Linked DNA regions of Saccharomyces cerevisiae S288C. The protein of the gene in region 2 interacts with the protein of the main gene of each other region in a biochemical or structural test. Each region holds a gene or a part of one and is shown on either strand. Other genes may lie near its edges. The genes, in order: SAS5 and SAS4.

What was found.
Region 1: the proteins of SAS4 (region 2) and SAS5 form a complex in vitro, tested with the Saccharomyces cerevisiae proteins (2 studies listed by BioGRID).

The regions. Positions count from the first base shown.
Region 1 is NC_001147.6:743,702-747,281, forward strand, and holds SAS5 (Sas5p), read right to left. Parts: upstream 1,581-3,580; coding exon 834-1,580; downstream 1-833. Other genes in the region: STE4 (G protein subunit beta), read left to right, coding at 1-480; SPR2 (Spr2p), read right to left, coding at 1,892-2,602; AIM41 (Aim41p), read right to left, coding at 3,024-3,580. UniProt on the Saccharomyces cerevisiae protein: Component of the SAS complex, a multiprotein complex that acetylates 'Lys-16' of histone H4 and 'Lys-14' of histone H3. The SAS complex is however unable to acetylate nucleosomal histones.
Region 2 is NC_001136.10:825,612-829,544, forward strand, and holds SAS4 (Sas4p), read right to left. Parts: upstream 1,745-3,933; coding exon 299-1,744; downstream 1-298. Other genes in the region: cohesin-loading factor complex subunit SCC2, read left to right, coding at 1-165; putative lipid phosphatase CDC1, read left to right, coding at 1,971-3,446; YDR182W-A (uncharacterized protein), read left to right, coding at 3,540-3,743.

The DNA.
Region 1 (3,580 bases), on a different chromosome or scaffold from region 2:
AGCTTTTACGTTAACGATAGTGATATTAATGCACTTCGTTTTTTCAAAGACGGGATGTCGATTGTTGCAGGAAGTGACAATGGTGCGATAAATATGTATGATTTAAGGTCGGACTGTTCTATTGCTACTTTTTCTCTTTTTCGAGGTTATGAAGAACGTACCCCTACCCCTACTTATATGGCAGCTAACATGGAGTACAATACCGCGCAATCGCCACAAACTTTAAAATCAACAAGCTCAAGCTATCTAGACAACCAAGGCGTTGTTTCTTTAGATTTTAGTGCATCTGGAAGATTGATGTACTCATGCTATACAGACATTGGTTGTGTTGTGTGGGATGTATTAAAAGGAGAGATTGTTGGAAAATTAGAAGGTCATGGTGGCAGAGTCACTGGTGTGCGCTCGAGTCCAGATGGGTTAGCTGTATGTACAGGTTCATGGGACTCAACCATGAAAATATGGTCTCCAGGTTATCAATAGCTTCGAATTGGAAATACTGTGAGCAGTAATTATCAATGGATGCTATTATATAAATATACATACCTACACCCATCCCATATTTACATAGAATAACAACAGTAACATTAGTTCTGTGGAAGCGCAAAAACGTCCTTTAATAAAGTAAGTCAAAACATTCAACAATGAAAATTCAAAGCATTGTCATTTGCTTCCTTTTTCTCTTTGGATAAACGAAACAAAAACGAACAAAAGTGTCATGCACTCAAAAATTCTTTTCAATCGTTTTGGAAACAGTATTATTCACTGACTTATTTGACCAACTTGCTAGAATCATCTATGTTTTCAGGCATTGTTTAATTTCATGATGGCTGTCCCTACTTTAGCTTGTTATGAGCCTTCACTGGCTCGTCCTTATGTATTGCGTCTGACCCAAAATTTGTCCTTTCTTGTTTAGTGGAATTTTTGTTCGGTAATTTCAAAAATGCCTGAATTTTCATTAACAAATCATCTGGTAGTTGTGTTATAAACATAAAAAACTGCTCCCTTCTGGGATGATTTTCAATTGCTCTCTGTACTGCAGGATCATTCAATATCATCTGAACCACGTCCGTCATCATATCCTCATCTATAAGCGCAAGGCTTTTAATCCAGGGCAAATCGGCTATACGAAGAGACATTTCTTCCTCCGGAGACACTACTTTCCACGGGAGATCAAAATATTTAGATAGTTCACTATTGAGATGTGAGAATTCATGAGGCACATCAACGGTATAGTCAACTGCATATGCATCATCTTCAAACGTTAAGTCATGTTCAATGCTAAACTTTCCAGCGTTACCTATAAAAAAGCATTCTATTTTTAAGTTAAACTCTCCCCAACCGGTTTCCTTGATAAAAAATGGCAGCGAGTTCAGTCGTCTTTTGGGCTGTTTGAAGCTAGAGTGCAAATGGTAGATGCATTTAGAGAGGATGGTAGGCTCCACTTCCTTTCCTGTTGCATCTAACATGAGGAGTTCCATCTGCCACCGACGTAAGGGAAGTTCATTTCCCCGGATGTTTTGTTCCGGTATTATAACCTGTTGTGTTTTTACTCTGAAAGTGACTTCTATTGAATGATCCATAAAAGAGCGTCTATTATATGGCACCAAAAAAAAAAAAAAGGGCTTTTGGAGTCAAGAGTAAAAACAATTTAGTCTGTAGAAAAACTTGAGTTGCTGCACTTCCTCTTCACCCGAACATGGCTGTTCTAGTTTGTTGTCGTGCAACTCTCTAATGGTGATGACTTATTGATGTGGCTTTGATTTTTTCTTGCCCGTGTAACGCGACCGCGCCAGCTGTAAACGTCACTAAATAATACCATTAATTGGTCATTTGCTTATATGTTATATAAATGCTTTCTCTATCAAAACTTTGATTATATGACTGCCGAACTTTAAGGGTGAAGTAACAAGTACAGACCAAATAGAAAAGATAAGATTCCCATCGACGGCATTAAGGAGGATGATGAATTTTCGTATCCCCCAATAGTTGTAATATTTCCCGGGGTGATTGTTGGGAAAATCTCAACGCTGGTAACACCCGTGGATAAAGCTAAACTTGTCGTACTAGATAAATAAGAAATGGTGCTCGTTAATGTTGCAGTACTTGTCGGCATTTCACTATTATTGATGATGCTCATATTAGTTACTAAAATATCTTCATACGCGTAAATTTTCGGTTTCGGAATCTCTTCAAATACCTCGTCTGCCCCGACTTTCTTCTGTATGCTGTCTTCCATAATTTCATGTAGAATACTTTCAATTTGAGAAAACTTTTTGTGCTCCACTATTGTTAGAGGATCTTCCAACAGAAAATCTATAACAGATTTGGAAGCAAGGACCGTATCGGTATGTTCTTGAGAATCAACAGCTCGCGGCTCCTCCGGTAAATCTGCTAATACTAAGTATGGATTAAACTCCATTTGATTTAGCAGAGCTGGTGGTAATGAGTTTTTATCCAAATGGAAAACTAAAGGACCAGGTTCATTTTGTCCTGTTTCATCTTCTTCATACTCATCTGATGTAAAAGTAATTGAGTATTTGGTAGCAAACACTTGTGCCATAAAAAAGGCGAAGAAAAGGGAGGATAGATATAATCCTAACATTTCAATAAGGATCAAAAAAGAGAATGGGATACAAAACTTTACTTTCCTTCCTTTCGTGCTAGTTACTGGCTTGGTGTTGTTCTTTAGTTATGTGTAGCAATGTTAGCTGCTGGTTTTTTGTCTTGGATAACTACAAATACTTTCAGGAAAAGAATAATTTATACATTATACAAAAGCGGCCTCTTTTATAAACAAAGGGCAAATGACAGTTAGCAAGACATATCATGGTTGCCATGGGACACAAAAACGTAGCCACAAAAAAAAAAAAAAAGGTGAAAGGAAGCGAGCATTAATTTTTTATTTTAATATGTAACTGTGATATGTATTAACAAAGTATCTTTCATAATTTTTGACGAATATTTTTACTTCTTTTTTACTATTGAAGGTTGGGCTGTGATTCATCGCGCAGAAAACAAGGACCTCATTTGAAAATTTCCTTGAATTGCTTAACAATGCTATTTTTGATGGCAGTTGGAGATGTCTTCCATTCTGTTGGCAATGACTTCCAGTCGATTTCTCCCATGATTTCCTTAATTTGAACTTTTTTTTCACCTGCCTTTGTTTTGAGGGCGTCCAGTAATTTCTTCACATTTTGATCAATATCAAGCTCTGAAGACACTGGCAATTGGTCCATATATTTCTTTATAATGTCCATTTCACCTTGCTCTTTGGCCACCAGATCGTCCCTCTTGTTAGCAAGGAACTCATTGATCGAGTCCTTTCTTTGAGATATTAACTTGGAGTACATGTCGTACAGGGAGTACTCATCAGCGCTCTTCCCTTTTAAAGCAATTTCTTTGTTTTTTATGGCAGATAACATATTTCTGATTGCTGTCTTCTTCATCTCATCCTTGGCAATCATAGCCTTTTTCAAATCTCCTTTCAATAGGCTGACTGCAGCCGTGTAGGCTGGAGAACTGTTATAACGAATGAAGGTTAGTCTATTTGAAACAAGTGGCCTAATTGATTGTCTGAACA
Region 2 (3,933 bases):
GTGCTTTTATTAGATATTGTAGAAGAATCAGAATTGAAGAACAAACAACTCCCTGCAAAGAAGCCGGATATCAGTAAGTTTTCCGCACAGTTGGAGAATATTGAACAGTATTCATCAAATGGCAAGCTTCTTACATATTTTAGAAAACACGTGAAGGATACGTAAATATATTGCACTTAAAATATACATAGTATTAATAATCATTTTGCATTTTCCATGCTGATTTTTCACGCAGGTTTTGAGAAGCAACTATGAAATATTGAATTTCATTTACACCATCGCATTATATTAGTTCAAACTAAACCTTTTTTTTCTTGCGGACAGGCAAAATATTAATACCTGAGTTAGTTTTCATTCCATTGTGTGTTTTTACAAAGGTCTTTTCGTTACAAGAGGGCACTATTGCTAAGTTTGGGTTGATATTGTTAATAATAGCACCCACATTCTCAGAAGACCTTTGTGAAATCTGAGATGCAGTGCAAGATGAAATTGAACCTAAAGGTGCCTTCTCTGAAAGAGTTGGACTTATAGATGCAGCATTGTTCCTTAAGGCATTCATTTCTTTTGATTTGACAGTCTCTGTCACAGATATTTCCTCCGCTTTAACATTCAGTTTCATAGACTTTTGTGTATCTTGCCTTATATCCCGAATGACTTCTGGTTCCACCTCCATCGTTAACGGGATGACTTCCCTTCTTCTTTTCACAGCAATTTGCGTTGATATTCGAGGAGCTTTCTTGAATTTTTTTGGATTTGTGGGAACTTTGTTTTTCCATGAATTTCTCTCTTTAGTGGAGGTTTTAATCAAATACGGTTTTCGGAGCGGCTCAGCTACGATAGCAAACCGTGTCATTCCCTTTTGTGATTGATGATCGCTCAGCAGTACTATAATGGAACCACCGCATTGCTGCTCTCTCTTCTTTAGGCGTCTCTCCCTTATTTCCTCAACGGTTATTTTTTCTTCTTCTTCGTCAGAGGAGCTTGCGTAATCTGGAATAAAAGTTCGATCGATTCGAGTATATATCTTGGGCCAATCTTTGCCACTAACCAATTTCAACAATGAATCACTTGAGGCTGGCCTTCTAGCTAAATTGCGGCTTTTTTTTTTCATAGATTCAAATTTATGTAACATTGAATCAATCAGCTCTTTAGTTTGGTAACGTTTAGTCTCCATTTCATTCTCGTCAGTGGGGTCATTTATTTTAGTAACCTTCTGTAATGTTACTTCCCAATTCAACATACCCAGTCTGTCTGAAATTAATGAAAGCCTGTCTGCTTCATTTTCACCATTTACGATGTCCGATTGAATCATTCTATTTTCTTGCTTCAACATTTTCTTGTGGTAAGGCTGATACGTGCTATCAGGAAGCAAATCATCAGTTGGTTTTCTAATATTCTGGCTCAATTCATGATGTTCAATTTCTAGTGTCATCTTTGTAATTGTCTCTCTCTTTTTCTTGATCTCATCATCGACATTACTCATGAACGGCGACTTCATCACAGGTTTCTGACAACGCGTTTCGTCAACATGCTCATCTACAGTAAAGCAGGACTTAGATTTCCTTAGATGTCCAGCATTTGGGTTTATCCTGCTGACTAATCTTAACTTCCTTTTAGGGTTAATTTCGTATTCTTCTGTATCAAAATCGAATTTTTCAAATTCTCCATGACTATTTTTAATCTCAGACCTCAGCAATCTCTCAGAAGTATTATTTGCTTCTTCTATTGATTGAAAAATACCCATTGATGAACTCTCATATGCTTTTAATGCTGTAGAAATTTTCGGTTTTCCTTTTTAATCTTGCTACTTTTTGTTTTGAGATCGCTGAAATCAACTCGCGGGTTAGATTTTCTTATTTTTAAAAATGTAGAACGAACGATTATGGAAACAACAATAACCAAAAAGAAAGGGAAAACAGTACCGCTTCTACTAATCTGTTGGATACATTAGACAATAAGCTCTAGGAAGTATGGTATATCGTAACAGGTCAAAGAGCGTTTTATCTACACACAGCAAGAAGAGCGACGATAAGGCCCACTATAAATCACGTTCGAAAAAGAAATCAAAAAGCAGGAGCAAGAAGAGGTTAAGAATCTACTGGAGATACATATCTATTGTATGGATCTTATGGTTAGGATTAATATCTTATTATGAATCAGTGGTTGTGAAGAGAGCAATGAAGAAGTGCCAATGGTCGACTTGGGAGGATTGGCCTGAAGGCGCTGAAAGTCATAGGGTGGGTTTATTTGCAGACCCACAAATAATGGACGAATATTCATATCCTGGGAGGCCTCAAATAGTTAATTATTTTACAAGAGTGATTGTTGACCATTATCACAGGAGAAATTGGAAATATGTCCAGTATTACTTGGATCCTGATAGCAATTTTTTCCTAGGTGATCTATTTGATGGAGGGAGAAACTGGGATGATAAGCAATGGATTAAAGAGTACACACGATTCAACCAAATATTCCCCAAGAAGCCACTGAGAAGAACGGTCATGTCTTTACCAGGTAATCACGATATTGGTTTTGGAGACACAGTTGTTGAATCGAGTTTACAGAGATTTTCTAGTTACTTTGGAGAAACTTCCTCCTCATTAGACGCTGGAAATCATACCTTTGTACTTTTAGATACAATTTCGCTTTCTGATAAAACAAATCCGAATGTCTCGAGGGTTCCTAGACAGTTTTTGGATAATTTTGCAATGGGTTCACATCCGCTTCCTAGAATTCTTTTAACTCACGTTCCATTATGGAGGGATCCAGAACAGCAAACGTGCGGTCAGCTACGTGAATCCAAAGAACCTTTTCCTATTCAGAAAGGGCACCAGTACCAGACAGTTATAGAAAACGATATATCACAAGAAATTTTAACGAAAATTCAACCAGAAATATTATTTTCCGGGGATGATCATGACCATTGTCAGATATCACACTCATATCCGTTTCAGGGGAAAACTAAAAATGCTCAAGAAATTACAGTAAAGTCATGTGCAATGAACATGGGGATCAGTAGGCCTGCTATTCAATTGCTCTCCTTATATAATCCTTCAGATTTGACAATGGTAAATGCCGGCGGAGAGTATGCATCAAAAACTTACCAAACAGAGCTATGCTATATGCCAGATCCCTATAAGGCAATCAGAATGTACCTATGGGGATTATTATTCTCTGCTGCCTTTATCGCATACATGCATTTTTTCCCAAAATCTTTTAATAATCGCGTAGCAACCATAATGAACAGAGTATTTACACGACCTGATGGTAACACCTCAGATTTGCCATTACCTACAAGTATTTCCAAATCGAAATCCAAAAAATCATTGACACATAGTAAATACGCTGTGAATGATACGCGTTCGATCAAACAATTTCTAGTTAATGCAATTGTCCTTTTTGTTTCTGTGATGCCCATTTTTATTTATTTTTATACTGTAGTCTAGACAGAATTACTGCTATTCTCTTCCAGGATCAAAATGCTTTGAAGGGAAACGTCTGGCTATTTAATATATGCGAATACACCTTATATACAGACAATGAACAAGAGATATAAATTATACCGGGTGTGGTATTACTATGCTCACCAAACAGTTTGCATAACCTCTACTGGATTTGCATTATGTTTTGTGGTCCAAGCTAAAACTGCAGGACTGGGCGTAACACCAATTACTTCACTATACGGGGACAAAAAAGAACACCTAGGTAAGTTGTTGGTTCCTTTAGTTTTATATCAAATTTAGCAAGTCATGACGGCAAATTTCTTTGTAAGCTTTGTTTAAAAGATGGATACAAAAGGACGACTTTCCTTTCAATCTTTCGTTTTTGCTTTTTATTATTCCATAGCAATATAGTGATCATAGTAGTGTAATTTTTAGAGTTTAAAAAACACGAAAGTAGGATGAAGTACAAAAGATTAACGAAAATACTCCA